3 linked regions of the Rattus norvegicus genome follow. The protein of the gene in region 1 binds, or shares a complex with, the protein of each later gene. Links are inferred from orthologs where the notes say so. Each region holds a gene or a part of one and is shown in the gene's direction. Other genes may lie near its edges.

The links. Proteins that work in one complex are often made in the same cells at the same time.
Region 2: the proteins of Samhd1 (region 1) and Ccna2 are in contact, whole or in part, in a cryo-EM structure (PDB 9HIW), measured with the Homo sapiens proteins. The link is inferred for Rattus norvegicus from reciprocal best matches to the Homo sapiens genes SAMHD1 and CCNA2. Residues at the interface, in NP_056289.2 of Homo sapiens: Lys615, Ser616, Arg617, Val618, Gln619, Leu620, Phe621, Lys622; in NP_001228.2 of Homo sapiens: Met210, Ile213, Leu214, Trp217, Glu220, Val221, Glu224, Arg250, Leu253, Gln254, Tyr280, Ile281, Thr282, Asp283, Asp284, Thr285.
Region 3: the proteins of Samhd1 (region 1) and Dcaf1 are in contact, whole or in part, in a crystal structure (PDB 4CC9), measured with the Homo sapiens proteins. The link is inferred for Rattus norvegicus from reciprocal best matches to the Homo sapiens genes SAMHD1 and DCAF1. Residues at the interface, in NP_056289.2 of Homo sapiens: Ser616, Arg617, Val618, Gln619, Lys622; in NP_001336097.1 of Homo sapiens: Asn1090, Glu1091, Asp1092, Thr1114, Gln1116, Asn1132.

Annotation. Positions count from the first base shown.
Region 1 is NC_086021.1:166,199,804-166,205,903, reverse strand, and holds part of Samhd1 (deoxynucleoside triphosphate triphosphohydrolase SAMHD1), read left to right. Parts: intron 1-1,349; coding exon 1,350-1,510; intron 1,511-3,348; coding exon 3,349-3,464; intron 3,465-4,897; coding exon 4,898-4,968; intron 4,969-6,100.
Region 2 is NC_086020.1:121,353,037-121,359,470, reverse strand, and holds the end of Ccna2 (cyclin-A2), read left to right. Parts: intron 1-944; coding exon 945-1,057; intron 1,058-1,239; coding exon 1,240-1,463; intron 1,464-2,064; coding exon 2,065-2,272; intron 2,273-2,863; coding exon 2,864-2,977; intron 2,978-3,294; coding exon 3,295-3,428; intron 3,429-3,705; coding exon 3,706-3,754; 3' UTR 3,755-4,108; downstream 4,109-6,434. Other genes in the region: Exosc9 (exosome complex component RRP45), read right to left, coding at 4,630-4,708, 4,835-4,970. UniProt on the Homo sapiens protein: Cyclin which controls both the G1/S and the G2/M transition phases of the cell cycle. Functions through the formation of specific serine/threonine protein kinase holoenzyme complexes with the cyclin-dependent protein kinases CDK1 or CDK2.
Region 3 is NC_086026.1:116,393,759-116,399,858, forward strand, and holds part of Dcaf1 (DDB1- and CUL4-associated factor 1), read left to right. Parts: intron 1-3,020; coding exon 3,021-4,284; intron 4,285-4,766; coding exon 4,767-4,965; intron 4,966-5,838; coding exon 5,839-5,921; intron 5,922-6,100. UniProt on the Homo sapiens protein: Acts both as a substrate recognition component of E3 ubiquitin-protein ligase complexes and as an atypical serine/threonine-protein kinase, playing key roles in various processes such as cell cycle, telomerase regulation and histone modification.

The DNA of each region.
Region 1 (6,100 bases):
AAACTTCGATTTGATTGTGGTCTCTAACACTCTGAAACTTCCAGACCCCAATTAAATGCTTTCTTACATAGTTTGCCTGTCGTGGCAATAGAACAGTAATTTTGACAAACCACAACAGCCAGGTGTAGTGTTACACACCTTTAATCCCAGCACTTGGAAGGCAGAGCCTTTAAAATGATTATTATATAAGAGTATAAAGTGTTGACTATTCATTTTTATCTTAAAAGTGGACTGTATCAATTATGATATTAACTGTTAAAGGTAGTTTTAATGTTTCCGTGTTTGTTGATGGAGGGGCACTGGTGTGCCAGAGTGGGCATGTGGAGGTCAGCGGACAACTCCATAGAGTGGGTTCTCTCTACTGTGTGTCCTGGGAACTGAACTCACGGCATGCTTACACAGCAGTTTCTCCTGTCTGCCCACCTGTCTCAAAAAGTAGCTTTTGGGCTGGAGAGATGGCTCAGCGGTTAAGAGCACCCGACTACTCTTCAAGAGGTCCTGCGTTCAATTCCCAGCAACCACATGGTGGCTCACAACCATCTGTAATGGGATCTGATGCCCTCTTCTGGTGTGTCTGAAGACAGCTACAGTGTACTTATATATAATAAATGAATGAATCTTTTTTTAAAAAAAGTAGCTTTTGCTGAGCTCATTTAAAAAAAAAGCTTAATAGGATGATGTAAATATTTTATGAGTAGGTATGACTACTTGAGAAATGACAATAAAGGCATTATTAAATGGATTAAAAGTAGGCTATCTACTTTCTTTAGTCTTCAGTAATAAAATAGGTTCTCCCTTACCTGTGGTGATTAGGTTGACCTTGTGTTAGGAGGAATACCTTTGTTGTGATTAAATATTTAGAGGTCATTGAACCTGACCAATAATAACTTACACAAAATGACATCCTGAGGACTTCATTTTGATCTCAGTTCCTTCTCTTCCTAAGGACTTTGATGCCATTCCCTGAGTATTATTAAGGGTGATGAACTTGGTAGTTTATAATAGTCATCAAATGGCTTTATGGGGATGAAAAAGGTTAATATTCTCCAAGCACACACGGTACACAAGCATAGGCAGACAGGCATAAAATAAGAGTATCGATTTTTTTTAAAGAATTTTAATTAACTTTCATTAATGTAATTGAGTTACTAAAATGATTATTATATAAAAATATAAAACATTGACTGTTCATTTTAACATAGAAAGGAAACTATATTCTGATGTTTGCTATTAAAGGTAGTTTTTAAAATTGTATTTATTGGTTCTGGGTAAGTGTGATGGAGGGACGTGCAGGTGCCAGTGTGGGCATATGGAGGTCAGAGGACAACTTTTTAAACTGAATTTTCCAGGTATTTAACGATCCTATTCATGGCCATATTGAATTCCACCCCCTCCTCATCCGAATCATTGACACACCTCAGTTCCAGCGGCTTCGCTACATCAAGCAGCTGGGAGGCGGTTACTACGTCTTCCCTGGCGCGTCACACAATCGGTTTGAACACAGTCTCGGGTAAGGAGGGAAAGGGGAGGCTCCTCTAATCCCTTAGAGAGTTACCTTTTCAAGTGGTCGTTGTAACGTCTTCTTTGTATTGGATTCCTGTCAACCGTATTTCGTTTATTTTATGTGTGTGTTTTTAAACTACTTCATATCTTTCCGAATCCTGATGTTTGCCGATCCGTCTTCAGTTGGGTTAAATACTTGTCTGAATACTTCAGTACTCGAATTGAATAGGGCTGGCTGCTGGTATGACTGAGTAGACGCTTAATTAGTTTTCCTTCAGTCCCCACCCAGTCAGTCATTTCATTTCCTTTCTTTGGGGACAGGGGCACCCAGTGGGGTTCAGGCTGACCTCAAACTCAGAGTCCTCCCGTCTCATCTCTTGAGAACTGAGATTCTGGACACCGCGCCTGGCTCCCTTTTGTTGTGTAGAGTCACCTTTTTAAACAAAGTGATTGTGTCAGGAAATTTAGAGAAATGCTCGTAAGCTCTGAGAGGGTTGCCTCTGCTCTGCAGTGAAGCTGAGACTTCGCTGTTTTCCCATCATGCGTGTAGAGCCAGGAGAAGTGGGCAGAGAGTAATTCAGAGTTCACTATTTGACTTTTCTTTCTTTCTTTTTTTTTTAATATTTATTTATTATGTATACAACATATAGCTTTCTACCTGCATGTATGCCTGCAGGCCAGAAGAGGGCATCAGATCTCAATACGGATGGTTGTGAGCCACCATGTGGTTGCTGGGAATTGAACTCAGGACCTCTGGGAGAGCAGTCAATGCTCTTTTTTTTTTTCTTTTTTCTTTTCGGAGCTGGGGACCGAACCCAGGGCCTTGTGCTTGCTAGGCAAGTGCTCTACCACTGAGCTAAATCCCCAACCCCACAGTCAATGCTCTTAACTTCTGAGCCAACTCTCCAGCCCCACTATTTGACTTTTCTAAAAAAAATTTATTGATTTATTTTATGTGTATGAGTAAACTGTAGCTGTCTTCAGACACCCAGAAGAAGGCATCAGATTCCATTACAGATGGTTGTGAGCCACCATGTGGTTGCAGGGAATTGAACTCAGGACCTCTGGAAGAGCAGCCAGTGCTCTTAACCGCTGAGCCATCTCTCCAGCCCCAGTATTTGATTATTTTTACGTACTTTGTGGTTTCCATTTGTTTTTGTTGTTGTTGTTGTTTGTTTTTGTTTTTTTTCTGGAGCTGAGGACCGAACCCAGGGCCTTGTGCTTGCTAGGCAAGCGCTCTACCACTGAGCTAAATCCCCAACCCTGTGGTTTCCATTTGTTATCTAGGCTTTTCCCTTTCTTTCTTTCTTTGTTTTGTTCAGGGTTTCAGTAAACAGCCTAGGCTGGCCTTGAACTTCTAGGCCTAATACTTCTGCCTTAGCCTTGCAAATACACAAGTTACAAGTGTGTGCCACTCTGTCCGGGTTCAATAGTCAAGATGCATGTACCTATACCCAATTTATAAACAACATTTATGAACACTTTCTAGAACCTTCCAAGGCACAAGCAAGTTGTCTGCCTTCCTAGAGCTGAGTTAGGGCAGAGGAAAGAATATATCTATTATTTTTAGGAATTGCTTTCAGAGAGAAGTGCTTGAAAGTGCATTTATCATTTTTTGTGCCTTTGTTTATCTTGTTTTGGTTTGCCTTGCTGGGGATTAGACCCAGGGTCTTACACATGCGAGTCAGGTGCCCCACAGAGCCACCACCTCAGCCCCGCGAAGCCCTCATCTTCAGTCTGTGTTGGAACATCACAGAGACACTGCTCAGAGATCAAAGTGTCAAGTTCCAAAGGTAGCTTTCATCTTTTGAACCTCGGTGTGACTTTCGGTCTTCTTCTCCGCAGAGTGGGGTACCTAGCAGGCTGCCTCGTGCGAGCGCTTGCCGAAAAACAGCCAGAGCTGCAGATCAGTGAACGAGATATGCTCTGTGTTCAGATCGCGGGGCTCTGCCATGACCTTGGTAAGATCACAGAGCTAGCATCTTGTGTAAGGTCCTACCATGTCACCTCGTCTCGGCATTCTAGCCAAAGGAAACGTAGGAGAGTTTTCATTTTTCTTTTCTTCCTCCCTGCCCTTTGGTTTTTTGAGACACGGTTTCTTCCTGTCGCCCCACTTTGTAGACAAGGCTGGCCTCAAACTCAGAAACCCACTGCCTTTCCCTCTAGGATTAAAGATGTGTGCCACTAGCACCTGGGAGTATTTTTAATTTTTTATTAATCACAGTACTTCCTAATACTGATAAGGACAAAAACATTGCTATGACTTGGGAATTTTCTGTATTAAGCATTTTTACCATGTCACATGAAAGACATCATTCATTTATTTATTATTTATTAATTAATTTATGAGATAGGGTTCTTACTGTGTAACCCAAGCTGGCCTAGAACTCACTATATAGCCCAGGCTAGCCTCTAACTCTTGGCAGTCCTCCTGCTTCCGCCTCCAGCATGCTGAGATTACAACCATGAGCCAGTGCCCTGGGCTGAAAGGGCTTTGTGCCCTGAGTTTCTCTTATTCTGTCTTTGGGAGAATGTGATGGGATTTGAGTAAAATAGCTTTTTCCTTTAGTTCCTTTGTAAAATCCACCCCTTCTCACAATTATCACAGGTTTAGAAAAAATGTTCTTCCCTGACTCATAGGAGGTCTTAGGCCAATTAAACTCAAGTAGAAGAATTTCATCCTTTTCATCTTGAGGAAGAAAAAGTTGACTGCCCCAGCTGCTGTTTAGTTACAGGAGAGAGAGAGAGAGAGAGAGAGAGAGAGAGAGAGAGAGAGAGAGAGAGAGCGAGCATGCATGCACACTTCTGTGGGCAGACCCTAAAGGAGCAGAGTGTGGAGCACTGTCTTTCTGTCAGCCCGTAGAGTCCAGGAGGCTCGGCAGCCCTTCTTAGAAGATGCTTGGCTCTTCTCTGCATTTTGGTTTGGGCTGTCAGACTCAAATGCAGAACCTGTACGTGCTAGGCCTTTGCTCTCCCTCTGAGCTGCAACCCCAGCCCGAAATAAATAAACCTTGATTATTTTATGAAAACTCTTTAGTATTCCTTGTAGTAAATTCAAAACAGGAGACAGATCTAAGATCCAATATGATATGGCCTTGCTTCTTATTCTGTTGTTCTGGAAAATTGAAAGGGCAGATTTGTCCTTTTTTTTTGTTTTGTTTTGCTTCGTTAATTTATATATTATTAACAGTAACAGATATTCAAAGTAAACTAAAAAAAATTTTTTTTAAAATTCAGTTTTTGGGGTTTGGGATTTAGCTCAGTGGTAGAGCGCTTGCCTAGCAAGTGCAAGGCCCTGGGTTTGGTCCCCAGCTCCGAAAAAAAGAAAAAAAAAGAATTCAGTTTTTACCAATTTACAAATATTTTTTTATTTGAAGGCTGCTTTTGTTTTTAGGTCATGGGCCATTCTCCCATATGTTTGATGGAAGATTTATTCCACTTGCTCGCCCAGACATAAAGTGGAGGGTATGTATTCCGTGTCCCAAAGTCAGTGGAAAGAAACAGAATCTTATCTAGTTACTCAACTATATTCTCTGTTTTCCCTCTCTGTGCTCTAGCATCCTTCCCTGGAACAGCATTCAGGGTCCTTCTGTTCACCTGTGTCTGTTTCAGTCCTCACAGTAGCCTGTGGAGAAAGAACCTTATCTTCCATTCAGAGTCCTCAGGAACATAGAGATGTGCCTGACTGCACATAGCCATGGAGTGGTGGACCAGCCCTAGAGAGCCAGCCCTCCTGGTTCAGAGCAGCATCCTTTCTACTCTGTCACATTACTGCAGATATATATATATATATATATATATATATATATATATATATATATATATATATATATAATGTATACAGCATTCTGCCTGCAGAACCAGAATCCTCAGGCACCAGATCTCATTATAGGTCATTATGAACCACCATGTGGTTGCTGGGACTTGAACTCAGGACCTCTGGAAGAGCAGTCAGTGCTCTTAACTCTGAGCCATCTCTGCAGCCCCTAGAGTTTGTTTTTAAAGCCCAGCTTCAGTTTTTATTTTGGTATAGTTAAGCGTCACTGGTTTTAGTCATTGAGCGTTTGTTTTTAATACAGGGTTTTCCTGTATAGTCTAGATTGACTTTGACCGCTCCCTCTGCCGCAACCTCCCCAATGCTGAGATGTTACGCCCTCACCCCAAGCTTTAAGTGAACCCTTTATAATTACGCATTTACTGGTGATGAACCTGGACATTTTGAAGCAGTTTCTGAGAAATGGAATTGACTTCCTGGTTTCTACTACACTGGGAAGGAAAAAGCACAGGAACCTTAGCCGAAAGCTTATGCCAAACTGTTTTTTTTTTCTCTGCCTTTTTTTGGAGTATATTGCATTCACTAAATTACACAGATTTTTGTGGTGGCGCTTTTATTTTGAGACAAGGTGGCCTTGGAGACTGAGCTGGCCTTGAAACTGGGAGATTGCCTGCTTCCGTTTCTCTAGAGCTGGGATATAAAGCGCGTACTATGACTCCCGGCTGAGATTGTGGAGAGCTGACTTGAGTTTGGCAAGTGTACACATGCAGTGGGGATGTGGACCATTCTCATCGTTCAGAAAGCCCTCCCTGTGGCCCGGCT
Region 2 (6,434 bases), on another chromosome or scaffold:
CGCTTGCCTGTGCTGGTACATGTAGAGGCTAGAGAGAGTACTTGACTTTGGGGTATCTTCAATCACTTTTCTATATCATTTCTTAATCAAAGGTCTCATTGGGGCTCACTGATTTGGCTAGACAGCCTGGCCATCAAACTGCAGGGAACTGAGTATTTCAACCCTTTTTCTTCTTCCCGTCTAGGGTTGCAGACAATGCCACAACATCTAGCTTGAGTGGTGCTGGGAATGCAATGCACATCTTCATGCTTATCCAGCAGGCACTGCACTGCCATTTCCCAGCCCCCCAGTTCACTTAGTTCTACTGATGGGGTAGGAGGAGGGTATGGAAACTATTATTACACAGATTCCCCTATCTCAAGATAATTTAAATGGTAAAAACTAGAGCTGAGTATATTAATGCCCAATAGCACTCAGGAGGCTAAGGCAAGATTGTCAGCCTAGGTTACGGAGTGAATTTCAGGCCAGTCTGGCCCACAGAATGAGACCCTGTTTAACAAACACCAAGTCCCTTACAGATTATAGTTAGTCTGTTTGAACATGGTATGACAGACTTGATATCTTTACTAACATTTGGTAATATATGCCATTTACCCAATTCTAGTTACTCCCTCATTGTGATCTGACTATGTCAACCTGTAGGTTCTGCGATCTCAAAACATACATAATATATATTTATTTATTTATTTTAAAATTTGATGTTAAGTACTTGTCCTAACAGAACCATTGTATTATCTACTCATCTCTTGAGGAAGATGACACGTTAAGGTAATTCTCAGTCCTCTTAGTAGCCTACTGATGTATACTTCTTTTTTGGGATTAAGGTTATCCTAGAGCTATGAGGACAGTAGCCCTAAAACCAGAATAAGATATTCAGTGTTGCTTTGCCATTAGGGTGTTTTTATCGAAAGAGATAAATACTTTGACTTTAATGTCATACACAGAATCACCCCATGCTATGGATATATCTATTGTCTTAGAAGACGAAAAGCCAGTGAATGTTAATGAAGTACCTGACTATCATGAAGATATTCACACGTACCTTAGGGAAATGGAGGTAAGGCTCTGTTCATCAAAAATGGCTAAGTGAAGCAGAGAGGCTAACGATGGACACCTGCTAACTGCTAGCAAGTTACTCCAACGCTAAACTTAACGGCTACAGTGTATGTTAATTGTGTCTTTGTGAATGGTGAAGTAACTAATCATAGTTTTAATTAACCCTACTGAGTTTTTCTTCAGGTTAAATGTAAACCTAAAGTGAGTTATATGAAGAGGCAGCCAGACATCACTAACAGTATGCGGGCCATCCTTGTGGACTGGCTAGTTGAAGTGGGAGAAGAATATAAACTACAGAATGAGACCCTGCATTTGGCTGTGAACTACATTGATAGATTCCTCTCCTCCATGTCTGTGTTAAGAGGAAAGCTTCAGCTTGTGGGCACAGCTGCTATGCTGCTAGCTTCGTAAGTCTAGCTAATTTGGTTCAAAATCATCACTCACCACTCCTTCCCCCCATTTATATTCCATTTATATTTTATTGGGTGTTTTGCCTTTGTGCATCGTGCGTATCTGTAGCACATGTGTGGTGCCTGCTGAGGCCAAAAGAGGGCATTGGGTCCCAGTCATTGTGCCATCTCTTCAACCCCCAGTTTTAACACTGACACCTTTAGGGATGGCTATGGGATGATTCTGAGTAGAGGGTGAAACTTGTTTTCAAGTCTAAAATATAAAGCTTTCCAGATCTGGATTTTACATGCCTTGAATGAGAATACATTTTATCACACTAGATGAAGAGTTTGAAAGTATGGTTCTTCTACAATAAAGTGCTTTCTGGAGTATAAACAAATTCTTCCTTACATCAGGAAATTTAAAAAAAAATTGTATTCAGGAGACAAATCAGAAGTCCCTTAGTGATTTGGGCCTATGAATTGGTTTTTAATCATCTCAGCTAGAGATGGCAGTCAACTGTCAGTGGGAGTGTGGTTGGTGGAAGTGAGTAGAGTACAGTCTATGTAGACAAGACCTTCTTTTGAAAAAACTCATTTACAACTTCTTTTGTTATAGAAAGTTTGAAGAAATATACCCCCCAGAAGTAGCAGAGTTTGTGTATATTACGGACGATACCTATTCCAAGAAGCAGGTTCTGAGAATGGAGCACCTTGTATTGAAAGTCCTTGCTTTTGACTTGGCTGCACCAACAGTAAATCAGTTCCTTACCCAGTACTTCCTGCACCTGCAGCCTGCCAACTGCAAGGTAGAAAGCTTAGCGATGGTAAGTCCAGTTTGGGGTTTGTTTTAGGTTGCAATTAGGGGCAAGCCCTTAGTTTCATTGTATAACACTGCTTAAGAGAGAAAGTATTTCCAGATAGTTAATGCTCCAATACACAGAAAATCCTATAGCCCTCTATATCTGTGGGCTCTGCGCATATGGAATCAATGAACAGACATTAAATGTAACTGCCTATGTACTGGATAAACACATATCAATCGATCTTTTTTGTATTACACGTAATATTGTACTAGTGATATGCATGTAGCATTAGCTTATGAAATGGCATATGTAAGAGACTTGAGTATCTGGTGTCCGTGGATAAGGGCTGAGAGGTCCAGGAGAGAATTTTCCAATGAAGGCCCAAAGATGACCATTCCAGAAAGGCACTAACTAGTGGTTTAAAGAGAACATCCTAGTAGCTGTTTTAAGTTATTAGCTGAGAATAGAGCAGAACATTGAAATAATTTTCCCAGGGCTGGTACGGAACCAGTGAGAGTACCCAAGACAATAGAAACTGGTCAAGAAGCAAGGTTTTGAATCTGAGTCTGATGTGTGACTGTAAAGTTGTTTTGGTTTTGGTTTTCATTGCAGTTTTTGGGAGAGTTAAGTTTGATAGATGCTGACCCATACCTCAAGTATTTGCCATCGCTTATTGCTGGAGCTGCCTTCCACTTAGCTCTCTACACAGTCACAGGACAAAGCTGGGTATGTATTAACTGTTGCCTTCACAAGTATTGGTGTTCTTTGTCTTAACCTTAAACTTGCATTTGAAAGCTCTGCTTCTAGAGTCTGAGTCACCTGCTGCGAGCAGGGGAAGTAAACAGTCAAAAGAGTGAGCTAAAATGTGGGGGTTGGCACTCTCGGAGGCAAAGGGGAGGGGTCAACATTTGGAATGTAAATAAATTTATAAAAATTAAAATTAAAAAATGTGTCAAAGATTAGTGCCAACATTTAGATCAACTGTGAGTTCATGGTCAGTGCCCTGTGCTGTTACTAAAAACTCAATGGTTGTCTCTTTGTAGCCTGAGTCATTGGTACAAAAGACTGGATATACCCTAGAAAGTCTTAAGCCTTGTCTCATGGACCTTCACCAGACCTACCTCAAAGCACCACAGCATGCCCAACAGTCAATAAGGGAAAAGTACAAGCATTCAAAGTAAGAACCATATTCTTTACTGACTAAAGGATAACAGTAATATGCCACAGCCACCTCAGTAAGATCTTATGTCAACATAGGAAGCTTTTGTGCCTTTGCATCTGGTAAGAGATGGGTAAGGGAACAGATATGTGTCCTAAGTATCAAATGTTTTTAAACTCATTAGTCTAATCAAATAAAAGTAGCATTTCTCCAGTCTTGGGACGCATAAATTGTTTGTTCTGTGATCTCCCCGATGAATGTTTACTAATAGGTTTTTATTTCCTCTGCTTAACAGATATCACAGTGTTTCTCTTCTCAACCCACCAGAGACACTAAATGTGTGAGAGTGAAAGACTGAAATGGAAATCGCTCAGAGTTCATGCTGTACAGTTTTTATCTTTGGTTTTAATTTCACAATCATTTCTGAATGTAGATGGTATAGCCACAGACAAATTATGTTATCCATTACTTTTAAAATGGTTTTAATTTGTATATCTTTTGTACATGTGTCTATCTTAGATTTTGGCTAATTTTTAATTGGTTTGTTAACATTGGTGCTGCCAACTGTCAAGATAATAAGAATAAATTGATTTGGAAATCTTTGAAAGTGATAGATAATTTGGCTAATTTTAATTGGTTTGTTAACATTGGTGCTGCCAACTGTCAGGATAATAAGAATAAATTGATTCAGAAATCTTTGCAAGTCAAAGTTAATTTGAGGCAAAAAGAATGATGTCACTTAAAAAAGCTAATTTGATTTGTTTTATTGTTGAGGGTGGGGTAGGGAAAGCTTTTTATAAAATAAAATATTTCAGGGAAAGATGCCTTCAAATTTTGACATTGATTTTAATAATTGTAAGCAACCAAACCAAGTTTCTGACTTGGTTATAAGTAACCAAAAGTAGATGAATCTGTTTTCAGTGTAGCAGAACTCATTCAGAGCTCACATGTTACAGTAGTTTATGGAGACATTTTATTTACCAACTTTTACAAATAAGGTTTTACATGAATTGGGAAGCTTTTATGCAACAGAAAAGTTTTCCAGAAAGTTTATTCGAAGCATAATGTTAAAGACAAAACAGTTTATTAAGTTCAGCTCATAATAGATTTTCAAATAAAAAATATCCAGAGCTGTTAGCACTGAGCAAATACCCTCTTATTAGTTATATATATATATATTTTATATATATATATACATACACATCCACACCACTTTAGCTTAATTAGCAGTTCTCTTCTTTTTCCTCCTTTTCCCTTGACTTTTACTTGGTGCCTTCTGGTTTGCACTGGTCTGAGCTCTGTGAATAAAGTAATATAACAGCTCACTGTACCCCCATCTGTCCTGGATTAGACCACTTGGACCATTTTATAGAACTACGGCCAGTTTTTAAATGTATATTTGAAAGAGACCAGAAATTTGTTACCTTATTTTTTTTGGACTCTTCTCTGGCTCCAAAATAATCATTTCTTCTTCTTCACTATCTGATAGCACTATAGGGGCACCTTTAAGAAAATTCCAAAAAAGGAGTTTACTACTTGACCACATCAGAGGTCCTAATGCTCCCATTTCCAGGCTAACTAAAAGCTCAACTATGCTGCCTGGAGGCTGATACATACTCTTTCCAAATCTTACCCTATTCTAAGTAGCTCCTCGCAGCTCTGAAAATTTGTAAAAACTGATGTTTTCTGTAAGCTTTTTCTTTTTTTCTTTCTCTCCCAGAGGACATGTAAGCTAGGATGTTCTTGCTACCAGAGCTGACCATGAAAACTGTAGAAAACTGCTTTTTTGCCATTTTTCTCTTGAACAGTAATTATATATGTGTGTAAATAAAGCTTGCAATTTAACCCTTTGCCCATTTGGCTGGCTGTGTGTTTCACTGCTCGGGATTCTTTTTTTTTTTTTGTTTTTGTTTTTTTTTGTTTTTGTTTTTTTTCGGAGCTGGGGACTGAACCCAGGGCCTTGCGCTTCCTAGGCAAGCGCTCTACCACTGAGCTAAATCCCCAACCCCGCTCGGGATTCTTAAAACCAGAAACAAAGGCCTCTGAAAAGAGGTATACACATGTGCAGAGTGAGATGATAAGAAATAGCATCACTAATCCTAATTAGGCTCTTTACCTTAAAATACCCAGTTACCTAATTCATTTTTTTCTTTTTTTTTTTTTTTTTGGAGCTGGGGATCGAACCCAGGGCCTTGTGCTTGCTAGGCAAGCACTCTACCGCTGAGCTAAATCCCCAACCCCCCAGTTACCTAATTAAACCAACACTGTTCCCCTGTCAAAACAATACCACCAAAGGCTTACGTAACAATTCCCTTTTATGAAGGCAGGCAGAATGTTCTCTCAGTGCATATTGCCATGAGTTCTGGTAATAGCACTCAGATTTGGGGGCTTGGGGGTGGTCACAATTGCCTGCAACTCTAGATCTGGTGCCTGATTAGCCTTCAAGGCACTCATAAAATCTGTAGCACACATATAGTAAGTCTTTTAGCATGTACTATACAAGAGAACCAGAATTCAGTTCCTGGCATCCATATTGGGTTGCTCATAACTTTCTGGGACTCCAGCAAGTTCCTCTGAACTCCACCCTGGCATACTCAAGAACACATCTAGCTTCTAAAGAATACTATACCCTAAAAAGATGGTCACTGCTACCAATGTGGCCACACCTACTAACTTCAGACAAGCCACATTTAAAATGTTCAACATTACGAACAGTAGTGGCTGCTACCTTAGCCAACGTACAAAGTAACATTTCTTACCACAGATAATTGTACTGAGCAGTACTGTGCCATCATAGTTTGTTTTGAAGTTTTGTGTGTATATGTGCTGGCACCCACAGGCCAGAAGATGGTCAGTTTCCTTGGAGCTGGAATTAGGAGGGCATTGGATCCAAACTCTGGTTACCATGATTGAGCATCAAGTATCACCACAGCTGAACCACCTTTCTGGCCCATGTCAGGAGCTTTTTTATATTTGAAGTGAACTAAACAAGGCTGTTGTCAGGACGAAATCTTTAAGAAAAAT
Region 3 (6,100 bases), on another chromosome or scaffold:
GCTGGTTCGTCATTGATCATGGGTTTTCTTCTTCTTCCCCAGTATTAGGATACAAACATGCATCACCATGCATAGATTGACTGAACTGGCTTTTTTTTTTTTCTTTTTTTCTTTTCTCTTTCTGGTTGGTTTTAGGGTTCAAACTTCAGTCCTGTGGTGGCCAGGCAGATAATTTACAGACTAAACTATCTGTCAGTTGTACCTTGCCATTGCTGTTGTTGTGTGGTAGATTTGCCTTTGCTCATATGGTCTCATTTGTAACCTAATTTCAGGATGTTAAAATAGGACAGTGGTTCTCAACCTGTGGGTTGTAACCTCTTTGAGGTTGAAAGCCCTTTCCTGGGTCGCATATCAGATATCATGCTCATCAGATATTTACATTGATTCATAACAATAGCAAAGTTATAGTTCTGGAATAGCAATGAAAAATATTTTATGATTGAGGGTAACCACAACTGTATTAAAAAATTATAGCGGGGTTGGGGATTTGGCTCAGTGGTAGAGCGCTTGCCTAGGAGGCGCAAGGTCCTGGGTTCGGTCCCCAGCCCCGAAAAAAAGAAAAAAAAAAAGAATTATAGCATTAGGAAAGTTGAGAACCAACCACTGGTATAGACGGTTCTAGAGTAGGGTACTTTGTCTACTGTAACTGGCACCATACAGTTCTTACAAAGAGAGTCATACTAATAAAATTTGGCTTTCTAAGTGGTTCAGATATTTCTGCACTTGTGTTTGTGCAATTCCCAGGACTTCCCTTTATGATAATTACTAAATTGGGACAAACAATGAAGGACAAGAGCTTGATAACCTGACTGAGGACTATCTCAGAAACACAGCAAAGAAGAAAGCATGTATGAGAAGGTTGCTAAGGTGAAGTGATGACTAGAGCTCCTCAGGCCAATGCCCAGGAATGACACTGCCTAAGGCTCAAGCACCTATTTTTAATCTTTTAATAGTGGATAAGGTTCCTATAGCTGTGATAGTGGCTAAGCTGAGTGCATGTGGCTTTTCCATGAAGGTTTTAATATCATGACTGCTTTTGTCCCTTTTACCTAGGAAATATGCACACAGACTTTGGTGACTTTCACACTTCCCATTATCCCTCTGTATTAAAGTATACATGAGATATTATACCATTAAGGCACAGAGAATGTAGCAGAATGATTCTTGTACTATTTTTTGGTTGGTTGGCTGGTATTTGGATGGCTTGTGTTGAGATGGGGTTCCATGTATTCCAGGCTGGTCTCTGACTCAGTATATAGCTGAGGATGACCGACCTCCACCTACTGCACGCTGGATACATTCGTGTGTACCACCATGTGTGGCTAGCATTTTTTTTTTTTCTTCTTCCTTCCTTTCTTTCTTAAGTAGAGTGAAATGAATAGAATTTCAAACTATGAAGTTGTGTCAACACTGGGGGCAGCAGTCATTAATGTTTTTGTTTGTTTGTTGTTTTTTTTGTTTTTGTTTTGAGACAGGGTTTCTCTATGTAGCCCTGACTGTCCTGGAACTTGCTCTGTAGACTGGATTGGCCTCAAATTCACATAGATCCACCTGCCCCTGCTTCTGAAAGGCATGTACCACTACTGCCTGGCAGCCATTAGCTTTTGTTTAAAAAAATAGAGAGGGAGGGAGGGAGGGAGGGAGGAGGGAGTAGGGAGGGGTGTGTGTGTGTGTTCGTGTGTTTGTGTTCCTGTAGATGAAACACATGTAGAGACTAGAAGACAACTAGCTTTTGGGTGTTAGCTCTTTCCTCTTATATTGTTGCTGTGGATTCTGTGAACTTCTAAGCAGTCTGTTTGCCCATCATCTTTGTCTTCCTGTGGAAGTGCTGCTATTACAGATTAGTACAGCATCCAGCATTTTGTTTTTTTTAAAACATGGGTTCTGGTTGTCAAACTCAACTCATCAGGCTTGTACGTTACACAGCAAGCATTTTTACCCTCTGAGCCATCTCCTTGGCCCTTTTAAAACTCTCTAAAGTAAAGGTACCTTGCTCACATACACTTTCCACTTCTTCCTTCCCACCCTCTTCTGCTATCATGTCCCGTGCACGCGTATTTAAATTCAGATTCTGTATATAAGACAGAATGCTTCACTTTGTTTGTCTTCCTCCCAGCACCCTCATCTTTTCCCTTTTTAAGACCCCTCCTTTGCCACACATGGTAGTGTATGCCTTTAATCCCAGCACTTGGGAGGCAAAGGCAGGTGGATCTCTCAGTCGGAGTCTAACCAGGTCTACAGAGTGAATTCTAGGACAGCCAGGGCTGTGAAGAGAGAGACTGTCTCATAAACAAAACAAAACAATAAAATAAACCAAAAGGGTCACCATTTTTCTCTTAGTTAGGGTCCATTTTAGTTCCATGCCATTTTTGGTGTGAGTTTCTTTTGAGACAGGTTCTTACTCTAGTCCAGGCTGACCTGAAATTTACTATGTAGGCCAAGCTTGCATTGAAATTGTTAGTATCTTCCTACCTTGGCTTTCGAATGCTGCCACCCTAGATGTCTGGGTTTTTCTTCTTTTTCATTTTAATTCTAGATTTTGTATATGGATTATGTTATATTTTAGATATAACATATATAACATATCTTGAGATCCATCCATTTTCTTATTTGATTTGTGTGTGTTCTTGCATACCATGGTGTATATGTGGAGGATAAGAGGGTAATGTACTTACTGGAGTAAGTTCTCTCCACAAATGTCAGTTCTTAGGATAAAACTCGTATCTGGAGGCTTGATGCCAAGAGCTTTTACTCAATAAGCCATTATGCCAGCTCCATCTATTTTCTTGTAAAATAACATAATTTCATTCTTTTTTTATTGCTGAGTAAGATTCATCGCGCACAATGCCTTCTTTGTCCATCTGTCTGTTGATGGATGCTTATACTGAGCCCATAACTTGGCTGTTGTTAATAGTGCACAGTAAAGATGGATATATAAAGTGTTCCTGTAATATGCTGACATGGATCTTCTAGCTATTAGTTTTATGAAGAATAATATATTTTTTTTTTCTGTGTTGTAGGTATCAGCATTATTTTGGGAGTGGCTGAGGGTGAGTTCTTTATCCATGATGCTGAAATTCAGAAGTCAGCACTTCAAATTATCATCAATTGTGTATGTGGCCCAGATAACCGAATATCCAGTATTGGCAAATTTATTTCTGGAACTCCTCGGAGAAAGCTGTCTCAGACCCCCAAAAGCAGTGAGCATACGCTGGCCAAGATGTGGAATGTGGTCCAGTCCAACAATGGCATCAAGGTGCTTCTGTCCCTGTTGTCCATCAAGATGCCCATTACAGATGCAGACCAGATCCGGGCCCTGGCCTGCAAGGCCCTTGTGGGCCTCTCTCGAAGTAGCACTGTTCGGCAGATCATCAGTAAACTTCCCCTTTTCAGTAGCTGCCAGATTCAACAGCTGATGAAGGAGCCTGTGCTGCAGGATAAGCGTAGTGACCATGTCAAGTTCTGCAAGTACGCTGCTGAGCTCATTGAGCGTGTATCAGGAAAGCCTCTTCTCATTGGCACTGATGTGTCTCTCGCACGACTGCAGAAAGCAGATGTTGTTGCTCAGTCGAGGATCTCCTTCCCTGAGAAAGAGCTGCTCCTGTTGATCCGGAACCATCTCATTTCTAAAGGGCTTGGAGAGACAGCAACTGTGCTGACGAGAGAGGCTGACCTGCCCATGACTGCTGCCTCACATTCTTCTGCTTTCACCCCAGTAACTGCTGCTGCTTCTCCTGTCTCTCTTCCCCGGACCCCTCGGATTGCCAACGGCATTGCAAGTCGACTGGGCAGCCATGCTGCTGTGGGTGCTTCTGCCCCTTCTGCTCCCCCGGCCCATCCTCCACCACGCCCCCCCCAGGGTTCATTGGCTTTGCCTGGCCCATCGTATGCAGGCAACTCTCCTTTGATTGGTAGGATCAGTTTTATCAGAGAGAGGCCATCACCTTGCAATGGCAGGAAAATTCGAGTGTTGCGGCAGAAGTCGGACCATGGTGCATACAGCCAGAGCCCTGCCATAAAAAAACAATTGGATAGACATCTTCCTTCCCCACCTACGCTGGACAGTATCATCACAGAGTATCTTAGAGAGCAACATGCTCGATGCAAGAACCCCGTTGCCACCTGTCCTCCTTTTTCTCTCTTTACTCCTCATCAGTGTCCTGAGCCAAAACAGAGGCGGCAGGCGCCAATAAACTTTACCTCAAGGCTAAACCGCAGGGCATCATTTCCAAAATATGGAGGGGTGGATGGTGGATGCTTTGATAGGCACCTTATCTTTAGCAGGTAAGGAGAGGCTCCCTGAATTCCTTGGGATGATTCTTTTATTTAAATCAGTGTTTGGTTAGTATCATCACTGAGTGATTAGTTAAAGTCATTTGCTGGCCTGCAGTATTGATTAACTCAGTGTCCTTCATGTGCTATGTGAGCTGATCAGTCAGTTATGGACTTCTTTAGATTCTTGGCAGTGCTTACATACCTTTGCTGTTGTCACACCCAGTAGGCTGCTTTAGGACTTAAACAATTCATTGTTTCCCGCCATTGCTCAAACTGTCTCTTTCTTTATAAATCATAGATACAGATTATCTGTCTGCACACTTTCTACAAGTCTTTTTTTTTTAATTGAAAATTTAAATTATTGAATGCCAGTGTAATTCTTTAGAATCCACATTTTGAAACATAATACTCTTTCCTTACAACATCTAGCAAAATTTGTTTTTCAGAGTTCCCCCACATTCTTTTTTCTGATTATATCCCCCCTTGTTTAGATTCCGTCCTATTTCAGTGTTCCGGGAAGCTAATGAGGATGAAAGTGGCTTCACCTGTTGTGCTTTCTCGGCCCGGGAGCGCTTCCTGATGCTTGGCACCTGCACAGGGCAGCTGAAGCTCTACAATGTTTTTAGTGGGCAGGAAGAGGCCAGCTACAACTGTCACAATTCTGCCATCACACATCTTGAACCGTCGAGGGTGAGGATTCCTTTCCTGGGTGCTCTCAGTTTTTTTTTTTTTTTTTTTTTCCTTTTTTTTGGAGCTGGGGACCGAACCCAGGGCCTTGTGCTTGGTAGGCAAGTGCTCTACCGCTGAGCTAAATCCCCAACCCCTGGGTGCTCTCATTTTGAGATTGATTGGGGAGCTAGAGTTGAAAGAGTTTTACCATTTATTGGACTTTATTTTATACGAATGGTTAACTAGAGTTGATGTGGAATCAGATTTCAGAAGGGAAATGAAATACTTGGCCATCTTTTGATAGGGGAGTTTTAGCTACGTGTACATTGGAAACAGGAATGATTGTGAGTTCAAAGCCAGTTTGGGTTACAGAGTAAGTTCTCTTCCAGCCAGAGAATCTATTTCAACAAAAGAAAAACAAACAAAACAAAAAAGTCCAGGCCAGCAAGGTGGATTAGTGGAGAAAGGTGCTTACTGTGCAAATCCTGACTGCCTCATTTTATTCCTTGGAACCCACGTAAAGGTAGAAGGAGAAACTAACGCTAACTCTGCAAAGTTATCTTCTGACTTCTACATGCATGACCGTACCTGTATATCATACACACATGCATAATAAGTAAATTATAAAAATAGAACCACCTGGGGCTGGAGAGATAGATGACTTAGTGGTTGAGAGCACTGATTGCTCTTCCAGAGGTCCTGAGTTCAATTCCCAGCAACCACATGGTGGCTCACAACCATCTGTAACGGGATCTGAAGCCTCTTCTGGCATGTCTGAAGACAACTAAAAAAAAAACCCAAACTTTAGGCCCCTAGTGATAAATATATTTTTCAAGTCCCCTATAGGCACATGTAATTAAAATCCTAGTGATTTTTAACTCCTCTGCCTTATAGGATGGGTCCTTACTTCTGACGTCTGCCACTTGGAGCCAGCCTTTGTCTGCACTTTGGGGGATGAAATCAGTATTTGATATGAAGTATGTATTTATTTATTGTAGCATTGTATCTTGTATTTTGTGTTTTATTTACCCACTTTATTTCTTTCTATCCTATTTTAAATTATAAGCTGCTTTGGGGAAAGAGGAATATTGTCAACTGTTGTTAATTTTCTTCCTTTCTCACTTGACATCCACATTTAATAAGAATTTGTCTTAGT